7 linked regions of the Bombyx mori genome follow. The protein of the gene in region 1 interacts with the protein of each later gene in a biochemical or structural test. Links are inferred from orthologs where the notes say so. Each region holds a gene or a part of one and is shown in the gene's direction. Other genes may lie near its edges. The genes, in order: polyubiquitin-A, SUMO-activating enzyme subunit 2, 26S proteasome regulatory subunit 6A-B, replication factor C subunit 1, cullin-2, E3 ubiquitin-protein ligase ariadne-1 and kelch-like ECH-associated protein 1B.

Region 1 (3,968 bases):
TGTTGATGAATTTTCGGATTATCGATATTCCCCTTCGAATCCTTACTACTTCAAATTGTTATTTTCACTGATCATACAAACCGGTTTTAAAATGAACACCTCTCAAGGGTGTTTCCTGAGCTCTATGAAATCTTCTTGTTCAATCAAGGTTTGAAAGGAGTATAGCATTGCCAGTGTCCATGAGCATCGATCAGTACTTACCGTCATATGGGCCATTGGCTATTGTATCTATTACGAAAAAAAACCACAAATACTTAAGATTAAAAGTGTTTGAAAAAACTCTAGCATTTTTTATGTGTTAATTCGAAAGTATTCTTGCCTAGCTTATTTATTCTGATGAACTGCTGCTACAATCAACGCCCTATAGGTGAACAAAATGTAATCGTTCAAAGCTCTGCCATCATTTCGTTCAGCAATTCACCATCTTCTGCTCCCCACTCCGAACGAGGAGCACTGCTGCTTGAGATACAGGTTTCATCACCTAATTCAAGCACAGATGCAAATTAAGACTGTCTTTCTACTTCTATGCTAACAATAAATAAATAAGTAATAAAAAAATGAGTATCGCCGGCAACCAGCTGTTCTTCTAGCTCTAACTTTTCTATTATTCTCATTTACAACTCCTACAAGCTGATTGAATTTTCACCGCACTCGCACATATCAGCTGTACGTTTTCACCAAGCCTTTTGGTGGGCTAATCGATATATTAGAGATAAAAACTTGTTTAAGCCTTTGCATAAGTTTTACTATTACTTCTTAAGTGAAAATAAATTTATGTGTCCTAAAGTACATATTAATTTATGATAGATATTTTTCAAAACATAAAACAATCGTCAAAGCTTAAAAACTGTTTGAATACGTATAGCAACATTCCGCCATATTGCTCAGAGTGATTTCTTTCAGGCAACGACTTCCTAAAATAGTGATCGAGAATAATCCTAAAATACAAGCCTGAAGGGAATACATGGAATTTTTAATTTATTATATTATTCATTAAATTAACTCAACTCATCTCGTCTCGTCTCGTCTCATCTCATTTCATTCATTTCATTTCATTTCACACCATGTTTCATATTAATCAACTTTATTTCATTTCATAATATCTTTTTTCATATAAAAAGTTTTCATTATAATTAAAATAAGACTTGACCTAAAAGTCTTAGTTACCAGGTCATAAAATTCTTTATTCTGCTTTCAAGAGTCAAGTTGAATTTCATTCATTCGTGAAAGAGCTACCTAGTTGCACGACGTGTCCTACAATTTGTGATAATTTTAATAATTTTTGTGAATTCCAAAAAGGTAGGAAATATTTCAATTTTTCAAAAATATCACAACTCTACTGCATGAAATAATTATTGTCAACAAGAAAAGTTTGAAAATCAAGTTTGTCATTTGTACACACAAAAAAATCTGAAACAATGACGATGTAATTTATGATCGTCGCCATTTTGTGATGACTAAAAGTCTTTGTTCTTTTGTTTTGTTCGTCAATCCATTTAATACTCCGAAATAGGGAATTCATCCGTCAATCTTCATTAAAGTTCCTTCTTTGTTCTAGAAACCACCATGCAGATTTTTGTAAAAACTCTCACTGGTAAAACCATAACATTAGAAGTCGAAGCATCCGACACCATAGAAAATGTAAAAGCAAAAATTCAAGACAAAGAGGGCATTCCTCCAGATCAGCAGCGACTGATTTTCGCTGGGAAACAACTTGAAGACGGACGGACATTATCCGATTACAATATTCAAAAAGAATCTACTCTCCATTTGGTATTACGTCTGAGAGGTGGAATGCAGATCTTTGTGAAAACACTTACCGGTAAAACCATCACACTAGAAGTTGAAGCATCTGACACCATTGAGAATGTGAAAGCCAAGATTCAGGACAAAGAGGGAATTCCCCCAGATCAGCAGCGATTGATCTTTGCGGGCAAACAGCTTGAAGATGGCCGTACATTATCTGACTACAACATCCAGAAAGAATCTACTCTGCATTTGGTGTTACGTCTCAGAGGTGGCATGCAGATCTTTGTGAAAACACTTACCGGTAAAACCATCACACTAGAAGTTGAAGCATCTGACACCATTGAGAATGTGAAAGCAAAGATTCAGGACAAAGAGGGAATTCCTCCGGATCAGCAGCGGTTGATCTTTGCGGGCAAACAGCTTGAAGATGGCCGTACACTATCCGACTACAACATCCAGAAAGAATCTACTCTGCACTTGGTTTTGAGACTGCGTGGTGGCATGCAGATCTTTGTGAAAACACTTACCGGTAAAACCATCACACTAGAAGTTGAAGCATCTGACACCATCGAAAATGTGAAAGCCAAGATTCAGGACAAAGAGGGAATTCCCCCAGATCAGCAGCGATTGATCTTTGCGGGCAAACAGCTTGAAGATGGTCGTACACTATCTGACTACAACATCCAGAAAGAATCTACTCTGCATTTGGTATTACGTCTCAGAGGTGGCATGCAGATCTTTGTGAAAACACTTACCGGTAAAACCATCACATTGGAAGTTGAAGCATCTGACACCATCGAAAATGTGAAAGCCAAGATTCAGGACAAAGAGGGAATTCCCCCAGATCAGCAGCGATTGATTTTTGCTGGCAAACAGCTTGAAGATGGTCGTACATTATCTGACTACAACATCCAGAAAGAATCTACTCTGCATTTGGTGTTACGTCTCAGAGGTGGCATGCAAATCTTTGTGAAAACACTTACCGGTAAAACCATCACACTAGAAGTTGAAGCATCTGACACCATTGAAAATGTGAAAGCAAAGATTCAGGACAAAGAGGGAATTCCCCCAGATCAGCAGCGATTGATTTTTGCGGGCAAACAGCTTGAAGATGGCCGTACATTATCTGACTACAACATCCAGAAAGAATCTACTCTGCATTTGGTGTTACGTCTCAGAGGTGGAATGCAGATTTTTGTGAAAACACTTACCGGTAAAACCATCACATTGGAAGTTGAAGCATCTGACACCATCGAAAATGTGAAAGCCAAGATTCAGGACAAAGAGGGAATTCCCCCAGATCAGCAGCGATTGATTTTTGCTGGCAAACAGCTTGAAGATGGTCGTACATTATCTGACTACAACATCCAGAAAGAATCTACTCTGCATTTGGTTTTGAGACTGCGTGGTGGCATGCAAATCTTTGTGAAAACACTTACCGGTAAAACCATCACACTAGAAGTTGAAGCATCTGACACCATAGAAAATGTGAAAGCCAAGATTCAGGACAAAGAGGGAATTCCCCCAGATCAGCAGCGATTGATTTTTGCGGGCAAACAGCTTGAAGATGGTCGTACATTATCTGACTACAACATCCAGAAAGAATCTACTCTGCATTTGGTGCTACGTCTCAGAGGTGGAATGCAGATTTTTGTGAAAACACTTACCGGTAAAACCATCACATTGGAAGTTGAAGCATCTGACACCATCGAAAATGTGAAAGCCAAGATTCAGGACAAAGAGGGAATTCCCCCAGATCAGCAGCGATTGATTTTTGCGGGCAAACAGCTTGAAGATGGTCGTACATTATCTGACTACAACATCCAGAAAGAATCTACTCTGCATTTGGTTTTGAGACTGCGTGGTGGCATGCAGATCTTTGTGAAAACACTTACCGGTAAAACCATCACACTAGAAGTTGAAGCATCTGACACCATTGAGAATGTGAAAGCCAAGATTCAGGATAAAGAGGGAATTCCCCCAGATCAGCAGCGATTGATCTTTGCGGGCAAACAGCTTGAAGATGGTCGTACACTATCTGACTACAACATCCAGAAAGAATCTACTCTGCATTTGGTATTACGTCTCAGAGGTGGCATGCAAATCTTTGTGAAAACACTTACCGGTAAAACCATCACGCTAGAAGTTGAAGCATCTGACACCATTGAGAATGTGAAAGCCAAGATTCAGGATAAAGAGGGAATTCCCCCAGATCAGCA
Region 2 (4,624 bases), on another chromosome or scaffold:
ACGTAACTTTTAAAGACTAATATCAGATTCTGTATAATTTCTAATATAGAAAAAATGACATATTTATATAAATCCGTACTGTACCTTTAACTGCTATTTATCACGTAGTAGGTACATAAGTAAATTCAAAGTGATAGTCAAATACAACAACATTTAAAAACTGCAATGCTTAAAGCAAATATTGCTTCTTACACAGCACGCAATGTAATGCAATTGAGAATATTGTATCATTACTGTCGAGTGACACGAAGGAATCGCCCTCCAGATACCATCATTAAGCCGTTCACAAAAATCAGTTCATGGTTGGCATGATCCTTTCATACATTTCCTTTAATTTTTGGAACCGTTAATTAAATAAAAGCAGTTTCATTGAACTCTGAGATCCCTAAGCTTTTACGAACTACCAATCATAACACAAAGTATGCGTAAATCTCGTGAGGTTCATCTACCTAGTTCTTCAAATAGAAGCAAAGAAGCCGTCACAATATAGATCTCTAATAAATAATAAACTTTAATGCTGCATTTAACAAATGCATCCTGGGTTTTTCTCTAAAGCAAATATGTGTTACATGACACATTAGCTTACTACATAGGATTCGATGTCATTTAAAGCCGTCGGCATAAAAATTCAATGGGTCGTAAAACTGAACCTTAACAGAAAGCGTCATGTTTTATTATAAACTTATTTTCATTCAGGATAAATTAGATTCTATTATAGCAGCGCTTCAGTCACTTATTGAGCCTGGTTGATTTCTGTATAAGACATTCTACCTTCATTCTCCATTTCCATACCCACACCATGCAGGTGCTTTGACTAATCTTATCCAGAATATCTTAAACGTACAACCGAATAGGGCGTATTACTGTAACAGTTATTACTTACTGTAACAGGCTCAGATAGACAGAAAGAAGGGGGAGGGGAAAAGGAAACGTGACATTCATCGCAATTCGTCGTTATTATTCGAATAAAATTTTCTGTCGATAGGTCTATGGTAAACATGTAAATAATAATAAATACCACACATTTTACGAAACTTTTTATGACGGATTTTATAGGCCCTTAAGCAAAAATCAAACTTTATTTGACCCAAGATTATTCTCTTAAGCTATACTATAATAATAGATTGTACAATGTTACTATTGATGCAGATTCGATTTGCCTAATACTACGAGTATACAAATGGTTTAAAGAGTAACAAGCACTCTTTAGCAAGAATGTTTTAGATGACATTCTTTATTTTGTGAGATATTCTTCTCATAAACAAAAATAAATGAATAAATTGAAAATTCTCAGTCGAGATGCTCGTCAAAATCTCATATTATTAATATACATTAAGTAACATCTCCCGTTCGGATTTTTCATAACGGTTTAATTGGGCGATGCTTAACTTTCCAAACTCATTAACTAAATTCTTACGTTATGAAAAGTTTATTTGTCAATAGAGTTGTTTGTAATATTATTAGCTGACAACAAAGTCACACTACGATATGGATTGCAACGGAGTGAACCTTGAAATTCCTGTTTGGCTTAAAAGACTAAATTCCAAGCCAATAAATTATTTAAAAAAAAGAACATAAGCCAGTGATTTGACAGGTCATTTATGTATCCTCGTTGAGTTTGTGTTGAAAACTTTAACAAATTTTGCACATAATTTCGTTATTCGATCTGTCGAAGTATAAATCAAAATGGTCGCGAGGGTCGCTGGCGTTTTCGATGAGAAATTGACAGAAGCTATTGCAAATTCTAAATTGCTGGTAGTGGGCGCCGGCGGCATTGGTTGTGAGATCCTTAAAAATCTCGTGCTAACCGGCTTCCCATATATTGAAATTGTGTGTACTGAGCAATTTTTATGTTTTTAATAATAAAAGGTTTGTTTCTGACGCAATGTTTGCTTTTAGATCGACCTTGATACTATCGACGTAAGCAACTTGAATCGTCAGTTTCTTTTTCACAAAGAGCATGTTGGGAAATCAAAGGCTCAAGTTGCAAAGGATAGCGCCCTTAGTTTCAACCCTAACGTAACAATCGTAGCTCACCATGACAGTGTAATCAGGTATGTTACCTTACATGTTATAAACAAACATTCTTTAAATGATTTCATGTTGAAAATATTAGGATGTTTCTGCTTCAAAACTGTTCATTTGCAAAGTTGAATAAAAGTTATGTTTCATACATTCCAATTAAGAGATATATAGTGAATGTGATTTTAGAAGCAGAACTCTAAATTCACCAACCATTAACTAAAAAGTACTAGAAACATTATAATTTTAAGATCTACCGAAGGATAAATTTTTACAGCTCATCTTGTATTTGTATTCGTTGTAATTTGTTGTTTCCAATGTTTTGAATAATTTACAATTTTGTTTTCTAGAATCAGTAATTATCTCCTAAAGCTGCCCAGCACTATTAATATGCACACATACTAATTTCATAACAACCACTTAGTAAAGTGTAATGAAATACAATTTATCTGTTATACAAGACAACTGTAAGGGTTCTGTTTCTGTACTTTTCACTACAATACCTTAAAAATTCAGATCCTAAATGTGAAAAAGATAAGTGAATAGAGAACATAAACTAATACAACTTGTTTGTATTTGATTGCAGCAATGACTATGGTGTAAAATACTTCAAACAGTTCAACATTGTGATGAATGCACTGGACAATCGTGTTGCCCGTAACCATGTTAATAGATTGTGTCTTGCTGCTGATGTACCTCTTATAGAGACAGGTACAGCAGGATATGCTGGTCAGGTGAGATGTAATTTAAAAATAAAGGAAATCATTAAGTAGGATTATTAATGACATTAATTTAATTATCATTAAACTGTTTGGTAATTGTGTCTAGAAAAATATTTTGGAGACATTTTCTTGTATATGAATTTATTTTTGCAGCAGTACTAAAGGCATAGAGTATGTTTTATTATTAATTATATAAGTACCCAAAAATTGATTATAAATAAATTTTAGATTTCATAATGGGTTGGTAAAGTACTCAGAGCACTATCGACTTTGTGAACCAACACCCATATGCTTACTTTATCTTACAGGTGGAGCTCATCAAGAAAGGTCTGACTCAATGTTATGAATGCCAGCCTAAAGCACCACAGAAATCATTCCCAGGTTGCACAATTCGTAATACACCTTCAGAACCTATTCACTGCATTGTATGGGCAAAACACCTCTTCAACCAATTGTTTGGAGAAGAAGACCCTGATCAAGATGTGAGTCCTGATACAGCTGACCCTGAGGCTGCAGGTGATGCTGGACAATCAGCGTTGTCTAATGAAAGTACTACTGCCGGTAATGTTGAAAGAAAAAGTACCAGAGCCTGGGCAGCAGAAACTAATTATGAACCAGAAAAGTTATTCACAAAATTATTTGGTGATGATATCCGTTACTTACTATCTATGGAGAATTTGTGGAAGAAACGTCGGCCTCCCACTCCACTGTCATGGGAAAATCTACCTGGAAAAGATGCTCCAAAAATTCAACATTCAGGGTTGCCAGACCAAAGAGTTTGGACAGTATATGAATGTGCACAAGTGAGTTTTTATGACCTTCAATAGGACTATTTCAATAAATTTATCTAAACTAATTAAAAGGTTTAGAATAAAGCAAGCACCCACTTCTTTGAAAAGCTTATAGTGTGCCACACTACAATAATTGGATTAAGTAGTGGCTCTATTATTTAGTGTTCCAGAGTCTAGTTGATCAAAATTCGACTATAATCAATATACCTGTCAATACTTTGTATCAATGTATTGATAACAATAAAAATAGAATGCAATACAAAAAGTAATAAACTAAAATATGAAGAAATAATAATATTCCTCAACAGAAACAGGCTTTTTAAATATTATCTGCACTGTTATACTAGAAAAGTATTTTTTCTGTACTTGTTACATGCAAAGTAATGTACAAACTAGAAAAAGAAACTGAATACTCACAAAAGTTCTGAATTATTCCTTCACCTCTTATATAATAATTTTAAATAAAATTCACCAGGTATTTGCAGCAAGCTGCAAGGCTCTACAGACAGATTTGAAATCGCGTCCGGGTGACGACCATCTTGTATGGGACAAAGATGAAAAAAGTGCCATGGATTTTGTAACTGCCTGTGCTAACATACGCGCACATATCTTTAATATACCACTAAAATCACGATTCGAAATCAAATGTAAGTTTATTATTCTACTCCAAAGGGCATGCTCTGTTAATGTTATACAAACCTTTTAAAATCACCTTAGGGGCCATCCATAAAGTACGTCACACGAATTTTAGGACTTTTGAACCCCTCCCCCCCTCCTTGTCACAGGTTGTCACATTTTTATAACCCCCCCTCCTGATGTGACGTCACACATTTTTTAAATTTATGTATGTATTTAAAAATAATCGAGAGAAAACAGCTATTTTCATTTTTTACTTATTTTTATTAAATAATAATCTAATAAAATCAACATAAAGTCCAACATTTCATAAAACCGAAAAAACAAACGACTAGTTAGAAAATAATAAACGATTAATTATATTAATTAAAGATAAAAAACTTAATTATCGAGTGTCCATGGACTTTGGATCCACTCTTTTATATCAGCTATTACTGGTAAATCAGGCACTTC
Region 3 (4,771 bases), on another chromosome or scaffold:
AGTGAAACACTCTTATCTATGATAATACTTCAAACTCATGAATCTTCCCTTCCTCAGGGTTTTGGTAGTATTTTGAAAATTTTTCTTTTAATTTAAAAACCTACTTAAAACATCTCAAAATTTGGATAACTGTTGGAGTTTGTATATTAAATGTAATGGCAGGCAACACTTGACACTTGATTAGATTTCGAATATTAGAAATATTTTAAAATGTTTAAAAAAACAGATCATTGTATTCTCGTAAGAAAATGTCAGAACTTCTCATCTAGACACGGCATGAAAAACATGTAATAGTTTTATATAAAATATAAAGATAATAATTGTATTATGGTGTAAAAGTGTTCAAGCTATCTGCAATATAATTATAATGAAGCAGTTGTGTTTTTAAATAAGCCCCTCATCACCTACAGAACCCAATCCCCTGAAATTTAACCGTCCAACAATAACAATAAATGAATAATATTACGCTTTTTAGCTTGTAGTTTAATATATTTTTACTATTCATTGAAAATAGTTTTTTTTTTTTTTATCTTCTGTTGTATATTAAATTATATCACAAACTTGAAGAAAATATAACTCCTTTTCAAATATTTTAAATTTAGTTAAAAATCACCAACACAACCTTAAAATGAAACGTAAAATGTAAACAATAACATTAAGATTAGATACGAAATACAAAACGTGTTTTTTTCTCTTGGGGCGATTAAAGAACTCCAACAGTAAACCGGTCTTATCATAGTATTTTAATGTTCATGTGGAAAATCTACAGGCGTCGAAAAAAAAACGATTCAGATTCCTATTATGTAATGATAATGTGAGCGCAATATTAATTAATCTGTTACCTGATGTACGAAGAAACATGGAGAACGCCATGGTTATTTATCGTGTGATATATTACTAAAACTTTTTTATAATAATAAAATATAAATATTACTTTAAAGTCCAACAGAACGAAATCACCAAACCCAACCAAAATTGGAATAAGTCAAAACGTCAGATTCAAAATAATTCAAAATGTCAAATGTTAATTGTCAATTGTTTACGGTTATAGGTAACATGAAGTTGTAGCACACAGGGATAAGTTACCGGTGTACTCGTTTTGAGCGATTTGCCTACGCTAATGTTCAAATTACGGAGGCAGATATAATGTTTTTTAAGGAAATAACTACCTAGGAAGACTTAATTATAAAGACCAAGATCGTCTAATTCCTGTTTCAAATTACATAAATACTGATGGTAAAACATGATAAGGTACTCCCGTACAATTAGAGGTCTTTCTGATAGTCGTTAAATTAAAGGATTATGATTCTCACTGTATATATATCTTAGCGTGGTTAGTGTATACTGCATGTAATGAATATGTACATGTTGTGATATTTATTTTTACCCAGTAGGTCCTTAGCTTGTTCATACATATATTACAATAATAGAATTATGCTAGATAAACAAGTGAATTTTGATAATTACAGAGCTGAACATTTTAACTAAGGTCAGATCGACTAGAAAGTTGAGTAACCAATGTCGTAAACAATGAAAAAAAAATACATCAGGCTGGTCACATCAAAATGGAATGACAATTCATTTTAGAGTCGTCAAATGTGTATGGGTTCAAGAACTTCTTAATTTAAAAGATTACTACGAAAAAACAAATCATAATATTACAATGGCCACAACATTAGAAGACAAGTCAATTTGGGAGGATGGCGAGGAAGCTCTCAGTGAGGAAGTTCTTCGCATGCCAACTGATGAAATCGTAAGTCGAACCCGACTTTTGGACAATGAAATCAAAATAATGAAGAGCGAAGTGATGAGGATCTCGCACGAGCTGCAGGCTCAAAACGATAAAATTAAAGAAAACACGGAGAAAATCAAGGTCAATAAGACGCTACCATATCTCGTATCGAACGTCATTGAACTTTTAGATGTGGATCCGCAAGAGGAGGAAGAAGACGGCGCCGTTGTCGATCTAGACTCACAGCGTAAAGGGAAATGCGCTGTAATCAAGACTTCAACCCGGCAAACATATTTCTTGCCCGTCATCGGCTTGGTAGATGCAGAGAAACTCAAACCAGGAGACTTGGTAGGAGTCAACAAAGACTCTTATTTGATCTTAGAAACGCTCCCAGCGGAGTATGACGCCAGAGTAAAGGCAATGGAGGTAGATGAGAGACCAACTGAACAATACTCAGATATTGGAGGTCTGGATAAACAGATACAGGTAAGAAACTCAGATTTATTTAATTTTAAATTTATTAATGGTTATGCTGCTTATTTTAAGTCTGACGATTTTAAAATTTTACAAAACTTTTACAAAACAAGTATTGCTTGGCTTAGGAACAGTGCCTTTATAGGACACTCAAATACTTATTTGTTTTTTTTGAATATCAAGGGCTTGTTTTTCTGAATCAAATCATAAATAATGATTCTTGTAAACATTGTACAAGCTCATTTTAATATTGAAAACAATTTTAGGGTTATGTATGACCTTAAATAATCAAAAATTATAAAGTAATTGAAATTGAATTATTTTTTTATTTAGGAATTAATTGAAGCTGTAGTGTTGCCAATGACACACAAGGAGAAATTTGTGAATCTCGGCATCCACCCACCCAAAGGAGTTCTTTTATATGGACCTCCTGGTACAGGGAAGACATTGCTGGCGAGAGCTTGCGCTGCTCAAACAAAGTCTACATTTTTGAAGCTGGCTGGTCCACAACTTGTGCAGATGTTCATTGGTATGACATATATTAAAAAAAATAAAGATTTATTTTTTGTTGTCACTCCAATATGCTGAGTATGACATATTTTATGATATCTCTCTCATACCCTCAGGTGATGGTGCCAAGCTTGTCCGCGACGCCTTTGCATTGGCTAAAGAGAAGGCACCAGCAATCATCTTCATTGATGAACTGGACGCTATTGGTACAAAGCGTTTTGATTCAGAAAAGGCTGGAGACCGTGAGGTGCAGCGTACTATGTTGGAGTTGTTAAACCAGCTTGATGGGTTTAGCTCAACTGCTGACATCAAGGTAACCATAATTATATAATATACTAGTACAACACCTAAGTCATTTAAGTACCGTTATCAGAACTGGACTAAATTGAAATGGGGACCACACGGGAAGCGTCAGATTTCTAATAAAAAAAGAATCATCAAAATTGATGCACCCATTCAAAAGTTATGAGGTAACAAACATTAACAATAACATACAGTCGAATTAAGAACCTCCTCCTTTTTTTAAGTTGGTTAAAAATGGTAAAGATGCACAGTTAGGATTCTCGAATTGCAGAGAACAGTATGTCTACCAGCATACTCTTTTTACAACTAGGAATTCCCTGATGACATATGGGTACTTCCCATCATCCCATCTGTCTCTGCAGCGAAAAAATAAACCTGGTGCTTATGATGATTACATTAAACTGTTTTCATTTATAAGATCTCCATTCATTTCATTTATAATACCTCCATTCTCCTCACAGGTCATTGCAGCTACCAATAGAGTGGACATTTTGGACCCTGCCCTGCTCAGATCTGGACGTTTGGACCGAAAAATCGAATTTCCTCATCCCAATGAAGAAGCCCGAGCCAGAATTATGCAGATCCATTCCCGGTAATGAATTTATGATAAGAAAAAAATATAAAAGAACAAATCTGAATTAATGTCAAATGTTTTTTTATCAATTATAACTTATTTATAAAACAGAAAAAATAAGAACATGAATTGAATGTGCTTACGAATTCAAGCTATGCTTTGTAATATATTAATTAATTTTTTGGTGAACATAGTCAAACAAGATCATGGCCCACTTAATTATTAGAATCCAGATATCAAAACATGATTGTGGCCGTTTACCTCGACGCAAATGCAAGATTCAGGCTTACATTCACAGTATAAATGCAACAATTCAGTACTGACGTTTTTGTCAATGCTCAAATCGATTTGTGTTTGGGTTACTATTAACGTGAACTTACAGCGCGAATTAGAGGCGAGGAGTTTTTACTTTATACAAAATTACAAAAAGTAACATTAAAAAAACAGATTTAAAATAAAGAGTCAGAATCTGCAAACTACTCGGCAACATAGATAACGATACTAAAAACATGTAATGAAAATCGACAGTGTAACTGGTACGTAAATAGTGCAGGTTCATATTAACATTTCTGATTTCAGTAAAATGAATGTAAGTCCAGACGTTAATTTCGAAGAACTGTCGCGTTCGACTGATGATTTCAATGGCGCCCAGTGCAAGGCGGTCTGCGTCGAAGCTGGTATGATAGCGCTGCGACGTTCAGCAACTGCCGTCACTCACGAAGACTTTATGGACGCCATACTGGAGGTCCAGGCTAAGAAAAAGGCCAACCTTAGCTATTATGCTTAGTTGTATTAAATATAAATAATTTGTATAAATAAAAATTTACTTCAAATTGTTTTTTTATGGATATTGTAATATTTATCGCAATATTTTCAAATAGCAAACTCGACGTTGGCAACAAATGCGTTGCTAGAAACCGATCATGATACTGAAAACACAGTAATATGCAATGATGTTATGGTAATGTCTTTTTACTATAATATCATTGGATACAAGAATGAATTTCTTACATTAGGAGACATCTCACTGATCTTTGAATTTGGTGCCAAAATATTATTGCGTTATCTTTTTTGTGTGATTTTTTCACATTTATATTGTCTGTTTTGATTCTGACCAGAATTTAGTTAATAATAACAAAATCCTGGTCAGAATCAAAATTAAATAATTAAACATACGA
Region 4 (4,158 bases), on another chromosome or scaffold:
CTGTGAGCTCGGGCACCCATCTGAGTAATTAATAAATAAAAGTTATTATTTAAGTCAACGATATTTGGTATCCGAATTGTTATTGTTAGCTCTTATATCGTTTCGCTTATGTTTGCGGTACTATAATGATAGAGAAAACCCTAGTTTGTTTCCAATCTGGAAAATCTATTTTTTTAGGCGACACGAGCAAGCAGGCCGTCTCCAAGAAACACGTTTTGGTAATGGACGAAGTCGACGGCATGGCGGGAAATGAGGATAGAGGTAAATTGGAAATATCTATATATTAATACGTGAAGCAAAAACTTTGTACCCCTTTTTACGAAAATTGCGCGGACGGAGTAGTATGAAATTTCCCACACTTATAGAGAATATAGAGAAGGAGTGCAGAACGTTAATATTTTTTTTAAATTATGCATTAAAAAATCAATAAAGAAAACATTACACACACTACATACCATGTATTTGACACACACATACACTCTGTTTATTGTCGAACTTTTGTTATTGCATAAAGTCTGTAGTCAAAATGAGAATAGGTTAATATTCTTTATCTTTAATATTACGAGTATTTGTCTATAGTGTAGTCTTGGCGAAATCTGTGACTATAGAAATATAATATAATATCCAAACTTATAATTTTAATTAATTATAGTCGAATTTCGACTACTGCGGGAACACTAGTTTATAAAAAAAACATCTGGACTACGAACTAAATTTAATGGCTGAAAGACAATAGAAAATCGGATGAATGACAAAATAAAACGACACGGTCTTTCTCTATTTAAACTAAAATACTTAAAATAGTTTTGTGAACAATTACGAATTTTACCTCTAATTATGTATTTTTAGTATGGTCGAAATTACAGCTGTTCTTTGTTTAATCTTTCGGAGTTATAAAACGTAAATTTCATTTTCAGGCGGCCTGCAAGAGTTGATAAATCTGATAAAATCAACATCAGTGCCAGTGATATGTATGTGTAACGACAGAAACAGTACGAAGATGAGGTCCCTGGTCAACTACTGCTATGATTTGAGGTTCAACAGACCAAGAGTGGATCAGATCAGGGTAATTAACTTATGGTTTTAAAAGAACGAAAAGAGACAAATAACATTAACATTCAGTATAAAATATATAAAACAGAATTAGGAAAAAAAAACAATTATCATTAAGCACATGGTAATCAAACTTGTCTCAAAATTAACCTGAACCCTTTAGCCTCCTTTGTCGGTTCGACAGCCTATACAGGTAAAGGAAACGATTCCCATACAGCCAAATCGTTTGTCAAAAAAATCAAAATCACGTCTATTGTATATTATTATTATTTTTGTCTTACCTCAGATTTAAATCTGATTTTTTCAGGCCGCGATGATGTCGATATGTTTCAAAGAAGGAATCAAAGTGGCCCCGGACGTGTTGACGCAGCTGATCGTCGCTTCTAACCAAGACGTGCGGCAGACCCTCAACTTACTCTCGATGTGGGCTGTCGACGAGGCGTTGGCCAGTGTGGACAAGTTAAAAAGAGACGCAAACACCACGAAGAAGGATGTCAAATTGGTAAAATTGGAATTAGTAGTTTTCTAGCTTAATTCTTGTTTACGGCGATATGTGGACGAGGCTAGTGGCGGGCGCGGTCACGTATTATTTGAAATTATAAAAGCGAGCACGCTGGTCAATGACGTTCGTGACCTTTTCAAGTGAGTAGTTGTGTCGTGTGTGCCCACGGCGCACTGGCAGTGAATTCCACCCGATCCATTTACGGTGCTTTTAGGTACCACAAGCACCGGTCACTGTCCTCGTCGAACCCGAACTATGCACTAGAAACAGTGAAGTTCTCGTAATGTTTAGTAGAATAATATATCTATAGCTTTAATATTTATCTATAGCTTTCATTTGATATAGTTGTTAAAAAAAATTTTTCATATAGAATTTTATACGAAAATGTTTTTACTCGTTAATTCAAAATAGAGTTTTTGCATATGGCAATTTTTGTTTTGACAGCGACGATATTTACTATTCAAATCATGGAAAACTTTATTTATGATGTTAAGAACTGTTTTCCGCTTTTACCTGAACAGTATTTATGTTCAATTGAGGCAGATATTAGATTAAAAGTTCACAATAACCACTTTCTAGTGTGAACAACTATATACAGTCAAACCTGGATAAGCGAGAGTTCAAGGGAGCACAATCTCATTCTCGCTTATAGAGGTTTCTCACTAACCCGAGTTTTTCGCTAATGCTCCCTCTGAATTTCATTTCGCGATTTTCCGGATTCAAACGCATTCACTATTTTAAGTTTATCACTTAATGACAGTACTTAATTTTCCGTTTTTACATGATGCAGAACAGAACTTTCCTTTGCAATTGATTAACGATAAACTGAGGTAAGTCCGACAAATAGGACGGTACACAGGCACACGTGTCCATTTGAAAAGAATGCGATAAAATAACAACGTTATTTAGTTCCAAAGTTAAGAAGGAGTCATAAAATAGCAGATGTTAAAGTTGTAATTTGTTCCTCCTAAATAATATAAATAAATAAAGCTCGACTGTCGCAGAGGTATTGATAAGTAGCAGGCTCACTTACGGAGGTCCATGAAGGAAAATCGACTCTCTCTTACACAGGTTTCTGTTTCTCGCTAATAGAGGTTTTGGGACCTTAAAATGACGGGTCCTGGCTATTACTCTCACTTAGAGTTTTCTCACTTATCCAGGTTTGACTGTACATGTGTTTTGCTGCCAAAATAATACTACATAATATTATAAATGATTTCCATCTCTGATTGTCTATCTACTAGGGTCCATGGGAGGCAGTAAGGAAAGTGTTCTCCGCAGAAGAACACAAGACTATGAGCATTCACGATAAAAGCGATTTGTTCTTTTACGACTACAACCTCGCTCCTCTGTTCGTGCAGGAGAATTACTTGCAAGTTGCACCACACTGTCCCAAGTGAGTATAGACTGTTTTTCCTTTGCTCTCAATTGTAGAAGAGTGTACAATCCTCTCCCTGTCGCTTCTTAGGACTTCTTGTGAGTTTACTGGCGGTAGAACCTCTTGTGAGTCCGCACGGGTAGGTAGGTACCACCGCCCTGCCTATTTCTGCCGTGAAGCAGTAATGCGTTTCGGTTTGAAGGGTGGGGCAACCGTTGTAAAAATATACTTGAGACCTTAGAACTTATGTCTCAGGGTGGATGGCGCATTTACGTTGTGGATGTCTACGGGCTCCAGTAACCACTTAACACCAGGTGGGCTGTGAGCTCGTCCATCCAAATAAGCAATAAGAAAAAAAAAAGTTTTTTAAAAATGATATATAGAATTAATTTAATTTAATAATTTCATTTGGCAGACACGAGGTTCTAGAGAGATTTAGTAAAGCGGCCGACAGTATCAGTATAGGCGACATGGTTTCTGCGAGAATCAGAGGCAGCCAGGCGTGGAGTCTTCTGCCTATTCAGGTATATAAACCGATAAAGTTTTTATTTATAGATGTACAAACGAATGTTCATCACTCACTTAGTTAAAGCAGTTACTTAAACATTGACCTTTTTTTTATTAATTAATTTTAATTTTATTGATAAGGTAGGATTTAAGGTAATCGAAATGAAAAAAAAAACATTAATTTGTTCCCAGTATGTTATTTATGATAAAATCTCTTTAATCCCGACGTGTCTAATATCGAGAACATTCCGCAGGCCATGTACAGCTCGGTGCTCCCGGGACACGCGGTGTCGGGTCACGTGGTCGGCCAAATCCAGTTCCCGGGCTGGCTCGGGAAGAACTCTCGCGCCAACAAAATGCACCGGCTCGCCCAGGAGATACACGCTCACACAAGACTCAGGTATGCCCTGCGGTCGTGTTCAACAATGTCCACTTATTTGGTTCAATCATGTCTCCTGACAATAAAGAACTACCATTGTCCTTAACATTGACAATGGCTAATAGTCTGCCAGCCGTGAGATTCTTTGATACGTCTTTTCATAACGTCACTGTTAAGCACATTTAACATTACTCTCGTGTAATCTCACTAAGTTATGAGTTTGCAATTGGACGGAACTTATTTGCTGACTTATTTCTTATGAGCAAATAAACATTGGTTTCAGTTTGAATACCGGAAGGATACAATCTTTGTTAAAGATTATTTGAGATTCGGTGTCTC
Region 5 (4,158 bases), on another chromosome or scaffold:
CTCTAGCGCGCTGGCACCAGGAGGACGGGACGATGCGTCGGCGGCTGCGGACTGCGATGCGGTCCGCATTTTCGTCGTCGCTGTCGTCGCCGAACATACTGTGGAAGAGCAACCCGGTCGGCGGTGTATCGCGTTCCGACCCGGCAGGCTGGTTCTGGCCCAGCGGGGTATCCCGGAACACCAGCGGCATCGCCCGGGCGGCCTGAAGGGCCGCCGTACCGCGGAGACTGACGTCGTTGGTCGTCGACTATCGCCTCGACGACCCGTCGGTCGGGCGTCCTCGGGGTGGCGCCGCGTGTCTGGTTGTAGTGTTGACCGCGGGAACCCCCCTACTCTGACCGGGTTTTGACCCCGGACGGAGATCGGACGCCGGGTGTAAGAGTGCAGGGGAGTCGTTTAGTGGGTGGGCCTTAAATTCCTTGGGCCCGCGGTCTGCTCTCAACACCTGCAGATCGTTGAGTCTCACATACCCCGCGCGCCCCCTAGGCGCGGGGACCTCGTAGGAGGTTCGGCCCTCGGCCCGGAAAAAAAAAAAAAAAAAAAGAAGTAGTAATGTTATGGGATCGAAGAATACCGAGCAGGATATCGAGATCCACGCAGTTGAATGCGTTACTGAAGTCAAGTAGTACAAGAATGGTTAGGGATTGGTTTTCAATTGCCCATCGAATGTCATCTGTCACTTTCAGCAACGCAGACACCGTGCTGTGTCCCGATCGGAAACCTGATTGAAAGTTGAAGAAAGCATGTTGCAATCGTTACAACTTGACCTTTGTGATTGAGGTCTCAATTGTTCTAGGATAATGATGTTGAAGCAGAAACAAAGATTAGTTAGAATAAAAATGCTATATTCATTTAGTATTAAAATATTTGTCTCCATGAACTCAATACAAAAACTCATTTTGAATTCATACAATAATAAGAAGAATTTTAATTGAATTTGGTTTGGAATTGTTGAAAAACCTAGTTAATATTAGCAAACAAACATTTAATCAGTAAATATCATGGTCATACTGCTACATGACCACCTGACTCACAACCGACTGAGGAATGTCAATACCAGGATATCATGCCCCGGGCGCTACACACAAAGGGGCATCGAATTGTCTGCAAAACCAATAAATGCTGTGTAATGTTTATTTTTATTATAATTGATTTCTGGAAAATATATTTGAAATAGTATAGTATAGTATAGTACCAATGAAATATCACAAATGTTAATTCCTAAAACAAGAAAAGGAAAAAAAAAGGAACATTGATATTCTAAAGCAAACTTTTTATTGTTTTATAACTCTGTGTTTTTCAAATATTACTTTATAAATATATAAAATAATTAACAGGTATCTTTAAACTAATTATAGATCATCATATACATACATTTCAAAATCTAGTCTTGTTTCCTCAACTACATTTTTGTCTCAAATTTAAAGCTTAGCTTGAGCCTATGACTTTATCTATTTAACTTTATTTATTGGTTAATTTGCGAGTATATTTTACATATAATATTATGTGGTTTTCGAAGGGGTGGGGTAGTCGCTGGGAACCACTTACTATACAATTAAGTGTTCATATTTGTAGGGTAAGATATTCACGAGGCACACCCCCATCACCTGTGACCTCCACTCCACCTACTCGTTTACTGGCCTTAAATAATTGTATGGTTACGTGTTTTCCAGGTATGTGTAAATAGTTCGTGATGATGTCGCTAAAGCCGAGGCACGTGGACTTCCAGGAGACATGGGCCAACCTCAAAGAGACCGTGAGTCGTCAACGCAACCTGTTCATTCACAACATACGAGGTACAAGGGATCCCCTTACAGAGCGTATTAAACTTGGGGTCGATAACCGTACCCAGGTGACGCCCTAAGGCCGCACTCGGGAGAGACCGCAGTCACGTTGCTGTCCGTCTTCGAGTTGAGGAATGGTTCTCTTGCACCCCGTGTGTGATGCGAGCTCAGAGTCATATTTCTTTCTGATACCCGAATAGAACAAGTCACAGAAAACTGACTCGCGCATACAATAGCATTCAGATAGTCGCGCCATTCCGCCGAGAGACGCGACGCCCCACTACCGTGCCGCCCGCTCTACATGTGTTTGTGTGCGCCAGGTTGCGGGGGTGGTGGGGCTGAAGGCCGTGGACCGCATCGTGTGGAACACCCGCTTCTCTGACGTGTACGCGCTGTGCGTCGCTCACCCCGAGCCCCTGGCGGACCGGCTCTACGACGAGACCAGGTACCTACCCGCTACTCGCTGTGTCGCTGTGTGCTCGTCCTAACCAACGAGGACTGCGTCTGGTCGATCTAATGTTGTGCTCGCTTGTTACGTTTGTAGGAACTTCTTAGAGGAGCACGTGGCAAGTCTGCTGGAGAGAGTTCGAGGCTCCACCACCCTCGAGCAGTCCGACCACAACGATGGACTACTGGACAGGTAAGGGGCCACACGCAGACGGACATGCATGTATAGCGCATACATTCACTTTAAATCAACAGTCTCAGGGACACATGATTTCTTGACTGCTCTCTCACTTCGAAAACTCAACTGCATTGTTTGCTTTCATTGTAACCGTTGAATATAGACGGGTTAACGCTTCCCGTCCACCCGGTGCGGAGTAGTTACCGGAGCCCGCGGACATCACGACGTTAACGTTCGCGTTCATAGTCTCACTGGTTGTATATATTGTAATGTGTGCGGTTGTGCGCAGGTACGTGTCGGCGTGGCGCGAGTACAGCCAGGGCGTGGCCTACCTCAACAGCCTCTACTCCTACCTCAACCTGCAGCACGTCAAGCGACAGAAGGTACGTGGACGCGGCCGCGAGGCTCCGTGCCTCCCGCTGGGGACGCACTCGCATCGTAACGTTTGTGTGCGCAGGTCTCCGACGCGGAGATCATATACGGCACGTCGGCCACGGTGAGCTGTCCCGAGCAAGACGCGCGACAACTGGAGGTGAGTGGGGCCGCGCCGGGACTCGCCGGGGCCGCGCCGGGTCCGCGCCGGGACGCGCCGGGACCGCGCCGGGACGCGCCGGGTACAGAGACGGACTCGCCTGTTGCAGGTGGGCGAGCTGGGCCTGGACATCTGGGAGCGCGTGCTGGTGCGGCCGCTGTCCGCCGCCCTCACGGCGCGCATCGTCAGCGCGCTGCACGCCGCCCGGGACGCGCCGCCCGACCCGCGCCACGCCGACATCATCCGACAAGCCATACAGAGCACCGTGCACGTATGTACACCGCCACCCCACCAGCACTCCACCAGCACTCCGCCTCGGTACAGTCGCGTGCAGTGCAGTTGATAAAATATGTAGCTGAAAAATTAAACAACAAATTATTATAAAATAGTTTAAAAAAAAACTTGAATGAATGCAGGTCCGCAGTTTTCGCGTCCGGTCTCCACTCGCGCTGTACGAGCAGCTCGTGCTGGAGCCGTTCCTCCAGGCGGCCGGCGAGCAGCACGCCAGGACGGCGGCCCACTTACTGCAGGAGGGGGACGTCGCACATTACATGAAGCACGTTCTCGCAGGTACATACAAAATGTACTCACATCTCTGCTCTATGTACTGACTCTACCGCGCGAGCGACGACGCCGAGTCACTGACCTCTGCAAGTTTTAATAATGAATAGTAATTCTTTAGAGTAATATTATTATTTAGAAGTACATACATATATAAGTTAATTTAGCGTAGTAGTGTAATTGCAGACAATAGGTGTGTAGTAATTACAGGTAAGAAGTGAAGTACGACTTTACAATATTAAATTGTTAATTTTCTGCGCCCCTGATTCCGGGGCGATCCTCTAATTCTGTTCCTTGTTACTTGTATATGTAAATATAAATCTATCTTAATCCTTTTATTCGTTACTTCAAAAATATTATAATTAGAAACCGCAACTTCCACCACGTCACCAATCATCCTGCAGGCAGCACAGTACAGTACAATGGTTGTGCAGTACCACACAGTGGCAGTACAGTGCAGTAGAGTACAGTGGGTGTGCAGTACAGTACAGTGGGTGTGCAGTACAGTACAGTACAGTACAGTGGGTGTGCAGTAGAGTACAGTGGGTGTGCAGTACAGTACAGTGGGTGTGCAGTACAGTACAGTACAGTACAGTGGGTGTGCAGTAGAGTACAGTGGGTGTGCAGTACAGTACAGTGGGTGTGCAGTACAGTAC
Region 6 (4,158 bases), about 130 kb from region 1:
TCAAATACAGTATGATATAATATGTCATTAATGATATTAGAATGCTGCTGGTTTTTTGGTTACGATTTCGATAACGGTTTCTTTCGGGGTGTCTGTTGAGCAAAATCTTCTATTATAGGCATAGTATATCTTGTAATTCTGATTACTGATTCTGAAAAAAGGGTAAGATGCCCGAGAAAAATGTTTTGAGAATAAGCGTGTGAGATTAATTTTCGGTCTTTCGGGGCCCCCTGAGAATGGGGGCCCTGGGCACGGGCCCCGTGTGCCCTTATGGTAAAGACGGTATTGGTGCTCTGAGGAATTGTTTGAGACTTGTGGAGAGTATTAAGCGGTGGGCACCGGCCTGGTTTGGCATTGCTGAAGTCCATGGGCGACGGTTACCACCACCATCATCAGGTGTATGTATGCTCGTCTGCCTACTAAAAGGTAAATAAAAAAAAATGATAAAGATAAATTTATTGGCTTCGCCTGCGTTTATCTATCTATTGTATGTGTCAACGGAACTTTTCTACGTAATTTTTGCCAACTTCAAAACGAGTGATTAACTTGAAAATTTGCACACATGTCAAGAACCGATAACAATAAAGTAGTTTTGTTATTTTAGCTTAAAGACTGATCACCAGGATTTTGAAAAAATCTATATTTTTTTGTTATTTAAACGTATTTTTTTTAGGTTTTGAAACATTTAATTTCAAAATGTTTAAAACTAGATCAACTATAAAGACAAAAGAATGTGTTAATATTAGGTAACTATAAAAAAAAAGTATATAATAAAATACAGAGAGAATTTATTTATAGAAATGCGACGACGATTCGGAGACCTCAAATTGGATAGCGGCTAACACGAAGGAGTGTCCTAAATGCAACGTCACCATCGAGAAGGACGGCGGCTGCAACCACATGGTGTGCAAGAATCAGAATTGCAAGGCCGACTTCTGCTGGGTGTGTCTTGGACCTTGGGAGCCCCACGGCAGCAGCTGGTACAGCTGTAACAGGTATGATGTCTTAATACATTGTTTAACAATTGTCTATATTTTTATTAAAAAAAACTAGCTGATCCGGCAAACGTTGTTTTGCCATATATAAGATTTCTAGGGAATTTCTAGTGTAGAAAAAAAAAACTTATTGTAAGTGTGTAAGGATGTGATAAATGAGTGAAAGAGGCAAGTAGCGCTGTGAATAATTAGGGAGTATAAAAATAACAAAACCTCATTCAACCACATAATACCTCATTATAACAAAAAAATAAAAATTGTCCAAAAAATAATGCTAGGGGTGGATAGCCCTTATCACTGTAGGGTGGGAAAATAAACTGTAGCCGATTCTCAGACCTACTGAACATGCATATAAAATTTCATAAAAATTGGTCAAACTGTTTCAGAGGAGTATGGTAACTAACATTCTGACACGAGAATTTTATATATAAGATATTATTTGAGAAATTCTCTACTTGATATTAAAAGTCTCGTTAGAACGGTTAAGAAACGAGTACATCAGGCGTTTCACCTTTAGGCAAATACTACTTCCAAGTAGTACTTTCTAAACAGGCTTCAAAAATTTTAATGTTGCCGAGATCTTTTTCTGGTGGTAGGACCTCTTTGTGAGTCCGTGCGGGTGGGTACCACCGCCCTGTCTATTTCTGCCGTGAAGCAATAATGCGTTTCGGTTTGAAGGGTGGGGCAGTCGTTGTAACTATACTTGAGACCTTAAACTTCTTTAAAAATAATCTTAAACTTCTATCCTTATTACACGTGACTTAATGACAGATACGACGAGGACGAAGCGAAAGCAGCCCGGGACGCACAGGAGCGATCCCGCGCAGCGCTGCAGCGCTATCTGTTCTACTGCAACCGGTACATGAACCACATGCAGTCGCTGCGCTTCGAGTCCAAACTCTACGCCTCGGTTAAAGAGAAGATGGAGGAGATGCAGCAACACAACATGAGCTGGATTGAGGTTAATACTGTAGAATAGGGATCGCAGCGCATAAAATAAAACTTCCACTGTTCCAAATTCTTCTGTTATAATAAAAAACTTCAGAGGTGTCAAGGGACACCCGGATGGAACGAAGTTCCATTCGATTAATTAGTGAAGGAATTGTTTTTTTTTTTAAGTTATAATAATAAATTACGGCATTATGAAGAAGAAAAAAACAATACTATGAACTAAATTACTATTGTTGAAACGCTATCTCGAGAAACTGTACTCATTACGCGGACCAATCGGATACGAGCAATGTCACGCGATAAGCGCCTACACGTTGATTGGTCAGAATGACGGATCTAAAAAGTGTCGTGACAACTTTTCGTAAGAATTTTTTCCGTCTAGCCCCCTTTCACAACGCGCGATAAGGAACTTCGTTCCAATAATTAATAATTAACACTTGTATTACGTTTTGCTCATTTTTCAACCGTCTTCGCCATTTTCTAATTTTCTGTCATTCTGTCTGTCATTCTCTTCTCCCTTTCTTTCCGTTTTCTCTCACTCACATCTTAACGCTCCGTTCCACACTCTTTACATACGTTCCGTTCTTACCAATCCTACAATACTGATTTTCTTGTCATAATCTCGCGAAGTCTGTACTCCGAGTTGTACTCATATTGGGTTTATAGTTTGACGAAGGGCCGCTGGCTCCATGAACCGTCTAGCATTTTAGGTATTGGGTTGAGTAATCGCTAAGAATGGTGACAAGATTAAGTTAAAAAAAAATGCGGACCCGACTACTAGGACAGATGGAGGAGACAATAGTAATGGATTTAGATAGTTATGGTTTTATCACTATAACTTCCGATGGGGCAGACCAACTATTAACACATACATAATAACATTTCAATGCTTTGCACTGACACTATTTGAAAAACGATTACTAAAAATAGTTTGTTATATTTAAAGTTACTGTACGAGTCATGTATCGTAAAGGGCACGCGCGCATTCACATCAGCACTTTTACGTTGCTTTACTCAAACCGTAGTATAAAGCGCCAGTACACGTTCAGCACTCATATACAGCGGTACTCACCACATCAACATACATAGATAGAATTAGTTACTTGTTAGCCAACTATATAATAAACGCATATTCTTTGACTATCAGTGATTTCTTCCTATCTAAATCTCAAGTTGCGTACGCCACATTCAGTAGCGCATACAGTTACTTACAAACGCCCCTCGTTTCACAGGTCCAATTCCTCAAGAAAGCTGTAGATATTCTCTGCCAGTGCCGACAAACGCTGATGTACACGTACGTGTTCGCGTATTACTTGCGCAAGAACAACCAGTCGGTCATATTCGAGGACAACCAACGCGACTTGGAGTCGGCGACCGAAACGCTCTCGGAGTACTTGGAGCGGGACATCACTAGCGAGAACCTTGCCGACATCAAGCAGAAGGTTCAAGATAAATACAGGTAAGTGTTTAATTTAATATTCTTTAGACGATCTGAATTTCTACGGATTATACGAGCCCTTGTAGTTATTTGTGGCAGGGTGGCATATGCACGTTATCTTTTAAAAATACTAACCGTGGTAGACGAGTTTGTGGTTCACTTAATTGATATTGATCACTGCCGCTCATAGATATGGGGATAGTTAAGGCACAACGCACAAATAGCGACACATCTTACCTTAAAGCAGTAATATTTAAACAGTACGTTTTTAAAATTTATCGACATTTATATTAATTCAACTTTTGAAAATTATGAGGGATTCGTGAATGTAATAAAACGATTTTGGTGAAAATAAGATGTGCTTACACTGTCAATATTTATTACGAATTGTACAAAATGTTTCAATAAACTTGTTACAGATACTGTGACAGTCGGCGAAAAGTGTTATTAGAGCACGTGCACGAGGGATACGAGAAGGACTGCTGGGACTACACAGAGTAAACACATTGCCTCTCTATAAACTGTGTCGCGGGTCGCTATCCTGCACCCGTTTGCACTTAAGGCTGATTTACACAAGAGAGCTTCTCGTCTTGAATTATTCAGAAACGAGTATCAATCGGATGATAGTTTAAAGATTTTGGCGCTTCGAGAAGCAGAACTTGTAATGTTTGTTCCCACGACTAGCACTGCTAGTGTCGAAGAGAGTTTACGAAGAAGCTTATGAAGAGATTTATATCTTTGAAGAGAGTTCTTTTTGTAAATCAGTCTTCACGC
Region 7 (4,158 bases), on another chromosome or scaffold:
CATAGTCTTTTCGGTGGACATCGGGACCACAGGAAAGATGTCCACAGAAAAGATGTATCATAAAAACTCTTGCGTAAAGAAATTAACTTTAAGGTTAGAAATCAAGCAACATGCTTTTCATTTACTTGTACTAAATGCTCATATAAAAACAATAAATATACATTTTTATAGATAATATTTACATGTCTATAATTGGAACAGGAAAGAACACTTGATCTTTTACGTTTATGTGTGTTTTGGAATAAAAAACATATTTTCACTCGCACTGGAATCGAAACAACAAAATATCAAACGCCGGAATGGCCACTATTTAGTGATGCCAACAGTTAAAAAAAAAAACTTAATGCGGTCGAATAAATTAAAATTTGATGTCGTTTTATCGCGTCCACAGAAAAGACTCCATTTCATGTAACCATATGTTTATTGGATTTATTGTATACAGATAGTAACGATATATTTTTGTTATTCTCAATATTATCATCTTTATTATATTGTTTGTGTTACAAGTAAATAATTTTAATATATAGGGTACTTTAAGTATTTTTAAACATGGCTCAAACATTATACCTTCGTCTTGTAACAGTCCACAGGAAGAGATTTTTTGATGTTTAACGCCATCAAAATGAATTTATGAAATGTAATATTTTACAAGATACGATTAAAATGAGTAGTAATATAGTACCTTTACGATTTAAATACTTTAAAATATTCGCCAATTTGCTCTTTTAGATGATACATTGCTATAACACTTTTTTTACCCTTTTTGTGTATGACCCATATACATCTTTAACGATTACATTATCTACTGCACTCATATTGCACTTCATTATTATTTATTCTTCAGTTTTTATCTTTTAATAAACCTGTAAATACGAGCCAAATCGTTTCATTGAAGAGAACAACAAGACATCCAGCACGGAACCATCCATTAATTAAATATATTAATATATTTTGCTAGTTTTTTGCAATATAATGTCTTTTTTAAGAAGATTTAATGTGAATTGTTTAAAATATAAATATATTTTACCTATGGCAACTCCTTCAATATTATCAATGTAGCTTAATCATCCTAATTTCTTTTTATTTATGATTTTAATTATCCCACCATTAAAATACCCTTAAATTTTATAATAAGTATGTAAAAATGAAATGTTTTTTCTATAGATATTTCATTCGTGTCCTTGAGAGCACGAGCAGCTGGGCCGTAAATGGCCTATGTCCTTTATACAACAACAATGTACGGTTTGCACTTTCAACCGCTTCAAATTCGTAATTCTTAAAAATAAAAAAGGATAGTTTATACAGAAAATAATGCAGCCAATGTCACTCTCCGCTGCGATTTGCTAACGACTGTTAAGCAATAATCACGAGGATTGGTTGTTCCGTTGCTGCGTGAAGCAAGAACGAAGCAATACACACACTTTCGAAGCCCCTTTTTTAAACAATAAATGGTTTCTCTTAGATTTTGTAGTCGTTTATATACATATTTTATTACTTAGGTGGGTGGACGAGCTCACAGCCCACCTGGTGTTAAGTGGTCACTGGAGCCCATATACATCTACAACGTAAATGCGCCACCCGCCATGAGATATAAGTTCTAAGGTCTCAGTATAGTTACAACGGCTGCCCCACCCTTCAAACTGTGCGGACTCGCAAGAGGCCCCACCACAAGTCCTCACAAGTTAATAAAGTCAAGACCAAACGAATATTAATACTAAATGTTCTTGTCAACAGATGATGTTTACAATGAGATCACACCAAATGCTGACTGATGTCGTGTTGGAAGTTGGAAACGAACTCTTTCACGTCCACAAAGTTGTATTAGCGGCGGGCAGTCCTTATTTTAAGGTAAATACCATACACACCAACAAACATACACACCCACACAAACACAATCTTAAAAACACGCAACAACTTGACTTTGGTTGGTTCGTTTGTTCGACCTCGCGTTTTAAGACGGCATTCTCTTTGTGACATTTTGGTAAGAACACTATACAGCCCCTCAATCCTTTAGTACAGTAAAAAACTAAATGAAAACTAAAAGTGAAGAAATAAAAACATGCCTCCAAGGTTCTGTATATCCAGTGCATCAATTGAAAAACGTTTCTATCTTATAATAAATAAACAAATACCTAATTTAAGGTAATCGGATACCGAATGGATTATAATTTATTAAACTGTCCAGTGACGTCAGTAGTCAAATCAACATGGCGGCTAGTTTTGGCGCGAAAATTAAAAATGTTAAATTATATTGCCTATTTGGGGGACATATTGAACTTATAAAAAATAAATAAATAATATGGTGTCTCATTCTTATTGCCAAAGGAACAAATAATTAGAAATATCTATGTAGTTGCTAAATAAACAAACATTATTTAAAATTTAAATCATGTTTGAATACCCTATTTCAAAGAGAATGTAGTCACTACCTAAGTTATAGCCTGCTTTACTGAGTGAGCACACAAATAGATGCTCAAATAATATTAGTAATAATAATATTTTTACAAAACAGGAAAAACACTATTTAAAATTATTTTAAATTAATAATAATAGATAATAAAAGCGATCATAAATTATTTGAATTATTGTTTTGCCTACTAGAAACAAAAACCTAAGTTTGTGGTCGAAAAATAATAATCTCGCACACTCACACGTTTTCCACGTAACGTGCAATGCTTTCTTCAATATTTAATATTACTTAATACTTACTATTTGTGATTTTTGCCTATTTGTATTTTGATTAACCGCGAACCTTAGTATTTCGTGCTTTTTTTTTTGCACCTGATCTCTAAAAATAACTTTCATTATTAATGCTCATTAGGAAAGGTTTTTTTCCTATATTAATAAATGGAAAAGTTTCAAATGAGCTAAAAATTTCATGGCATTTTACAATCGATCCGTCCCAATTGTCCATTGATCCAATACACTTCGCGGCTGACTGAAATCGAAGATAATAAGACTATAAATAAACATCTTGCTGTAATATGTGTTTAATATACATATGTTTAACTTGACTTTGTAGTATTTCCATCGTTTTTTGCGAGTCGTGGATATAATTTACTGCTTAATATAAACTTACTTTTCACCGACGATTTTTTTCCTACCTATTCGCTGGTAGCCTAGAGGCTATTCCAGCAACGCCCTGACGAGTATACGTGAGCTCACGTGCTCAACCTGAGAGAATTTGCTAACATTCTAACGAGAGCAGTGCTTTGTAGAATCTACCACCCGATCGGAATCGCCACCGGTACTTGAGAGACCTGAAAACACCGAGAGTAAATTCGGGGGATCCGACAAGACATATTTCGGGCGACGGCGCCCTTGCGTTGCCCCGTCGCAGTCGGATAAAATAATTCGTGTCGCCTCGCTTTCTCGAAGTAGCGTTCTGACGCGTCCTTAAGATGCTTACTTAACGGTACTAGATTTAGGTCGTCGTGAAGATCTACATTCCTCATATACCATGGTGCTCCGACAGCTATCCTGCAGAAACGGGATTAGATGACCTGAAAAGAGTTTAAAGTGTACGGGCCACGTGAGCGAACACTACACTTGCATAGGTCATGACAGAACGTATGCAAGTTTTGTAGAGTGTCATCTTGTTATGAAGGGATACTTCGCTTCGATTTCCTTTTAATTTTAAACATTAACGTTCATTGTCGTTTCTGCACTATCCGTGCTACATCCTGCTATCCGATACTCACTTCCCCGATGTTAGTCCTTAACTAAATTTGAATTAACGATGTCTATTTAGTGTACCCGGGTTTGGGCGATCCCCGGTCTTACTCAATATCTTGAATAATACTGACGTTTGGCGCTCATGATCTAATTCTTGTTTAAAAATAGTAGAATAACGAAACTCCAAAAACAATCAAATTACTAGCTGAAATGAATCATACAGTTACAGTGATTAACAAACTTGTTTTTATACTGTATCATGAATTTGTAAATGATTTAGAGACTCAAGAAATATCCAACAGAATTAATCGGGTTCTTAGAATTACGGAAAAAAACTGCTACTCGTCTCAGAATGACTATGCATATTTATTTATTTTAAAAACCTAAATATAACAAATAAAATGAAAAACCTAGTCAAAAAACACAGATATTGTATATACCTAATATTTTTTGCAATTATCAGGTGACTTTGCGTTTTGAACG

The links.
Region 2: the proteins of polyubiquitin-A (region 1) and SUMO-activating enzyme subunit 2 form a complex in vitro, tested with the Homo sapiens proteins (2 studies listed by BioGRID). The link is inferred for Bombyx mori from reciprocal best matches to the Homo sapiens genes UBC and UBA2.
Region 3: the proteins of polyubiquitin-A (region 1) and 26S proteasome regulatory subunit 6A-B form a complex in vitro, tested with the Homo sapiens proteins (2 studies listed by BioGRID). The link is inferred for Bombyx mori from reciprocal best matches to the Homo sapiens genes UBC and PSMC3.
Region 4: the proteins of polyubiquitin-A (region 1) and replication factor C subunit 1 form a complex in vitro, tested with the Homo sapiens proteins (2 studies listed by BioGRID). The link is inferred for Bombyx mori from reciprocal best matches to the Homo sapiens genes UBC and RFC1.
Region 5: the proteins of polyubiquitin-A (region 1) and cullin-2 form a complex in vitro, tested with the Homo sapiens proteins (2 studies listed by BioGRID, with this or other methods). The link is inferred for Bombyx mori from reciprocal best matches to the Homo sapiens genes UBC and CUL2.
Region 6: the proteins of polyubiquitin-A (region 1) and E3 ubiquitin-protein ligase ariadne-1 form a complex in vitro, tested with the Homo sapiens proteins (3 studies listed by BioGRID, with this or other methods). The link is inferred for Bombyx mori from reciprocal best matches to the Homo sapiens genes UBC and ARIH1.
Region 7: the proteins of polyubiquitin-A (region 1) and kelch-like ECH-associated protein 1B form a complex in vitro, tested with the Homo sapiens proteins (2 studies listed by BioGRID). The link is inferred for Bombyx mori from reciprocal best matches to the Homo sapiens genes UBC and KEAP1.

Annotation. Positions count from the first base shown.
Region 1 is NC_085127.1:9,713,253-9,717,220, reverse strand, and holds the start of polyubiquitin-A, read left to right. Parts: upstream 1-1,168; 5' UTR 1,169-1,299; intron 1,300-1,558; 5' UTR 1,559-1,566; coding exon 1,567-3,968.
Region 2 is NC_085117.1:15,263,703-15,268,326, reverse strand, and holds the start of SUMO-activating enzyme subunit 2, read left to right. Parts: upstream 1-1,448; 5' UTR 1,449-1,686; coding exon 1,687-1,830; intron 1,831-1,899; coding exon 1,900-2,054; intron 2,055-2,608; coding exon 2,609-2,756; intron 2,757-3,052; coding exon 3,053-3,547; intron 3,548-4,010; coding exon 4,011-4,182; intron 4,183-4,624. UniProt on the Homo sapiens protein: The heterodimer acts as an E1 ligase for SUMO1, SUMO2, SUMO3, and probably SUMO4. It mediates ATP-dependent activation of SUMO proteins followed by formation of a thioester bond between a SUMO protein and a conserved active site cysteine residue on UBA2/SAE2.
Region 3 is NC_085131.1:1,841,066-1,845,836, forward strand, and holds 26S proteasome regulatory subunit 6A-B, read left to right. Parts: upstream 1-1,522; 5' UTR 1,523-1,570; coding exon 1,571-2,218; intron 2,219-2,539; coding exon 2,540-2,735; intron 2,736-2,832; coding exon 2,833-3,029; intron 3,030-3,480; coding exon 3,481-3,611; intron 3,612-4,172; coding exon 4,173-4,380; 3' UTR 4,381-4,426; downstream 4,427-4,771. Other genes in the region: succinate dehydrogenase [ubiquinone] cytochrome b small subunit, mitochondrial, read right to left, coding at 843-873.
Region 4 is NC_085121.1:15,066,486-15,070,643, reverse strand, and holds part of replication factor C subunit 1, read left to right. Parts: intron 1-177; coding exon 178-261; intron 262-917; coding exon 918-1,066; intron 1,067-1,360; coding exon 1,361-1,555; intron 1,556-2,799; coding exon 2,800-2,951; intron 2,952-3,348; coding exon 3,349-3,457; intron 3,458-3,694; coding exon 3,695-3,840; intron 3,841-4,158. UniProt on the Homo sapiens protein: Subunit of the replication factor C (RFC) complex which acts during elongation of primed DNA templates by DNA polymerases delta and epsilon, and is necessary for ATP-dependent loading of proliferating cell nuclear antigen (PCNA) onto primed DNA.
Region 5 is NC_085129.1:21,457,159-21,461,316, reverse strand, and holds part of cullin-2, read left to right. Parts: intron 1-1,673; 5' UTR 1,674-1,693; coding exon 1,694-1,756; intron 1,757-2,104; coding exon 2,105-2,229; intron 2,230-2,328; coding exon 2,329-2,424; intron 2,425-2,698; coding exon 2,699-2,792; intron 2,793-2,866; coding exon 2,867-2,941; intron 2,942-3,050; coding exon 3,051-3,212; intron 3,213-3,357; coding exon 3,358-3,511; intron 3,512-4,158.
Region 6 is NC_085127.1:9,583,832-9,587,989, reverse strand, and holds part of E3 ubiquitin-protein ligase ariadne-1, read left to right. Parts: intron 1-798; coding exon 799-995; intron 996-1,766; coding exon 1,767-1,956; intron 1,957-3,178; coding exon 3,179-3,405; intron 3,406-3,803; coding exon 3,804-3,881; coding exon of another isoform or gene 3,882-3,885; exon of another isoform or gene 3,886-4,158. UniProt on the Homo sapiens protein: E3 ubiquitin-protein ligase, which catalyzes ubiquitination of target proteins together with ubiquitin-conjugating enzyme E2 UBE2L3.
Region 7 is NC_085128.1:13,269,644-13,273,801, reverse strand, and holds part of kelch-like ECH-associated protein 1B, read left to right. Parts: intron 1-1,734; coding exon 1,735-1,848; intron 1,849-4,158. UniProt on the Homo sapiens protein: Substrate-specific adapter of a BCR (BTB-CUL3-RBX1) E3 ubiquitin ligase complex that regulates the response to oxidative stress by targeting NFE2L2/NRF2 for ubiquitination.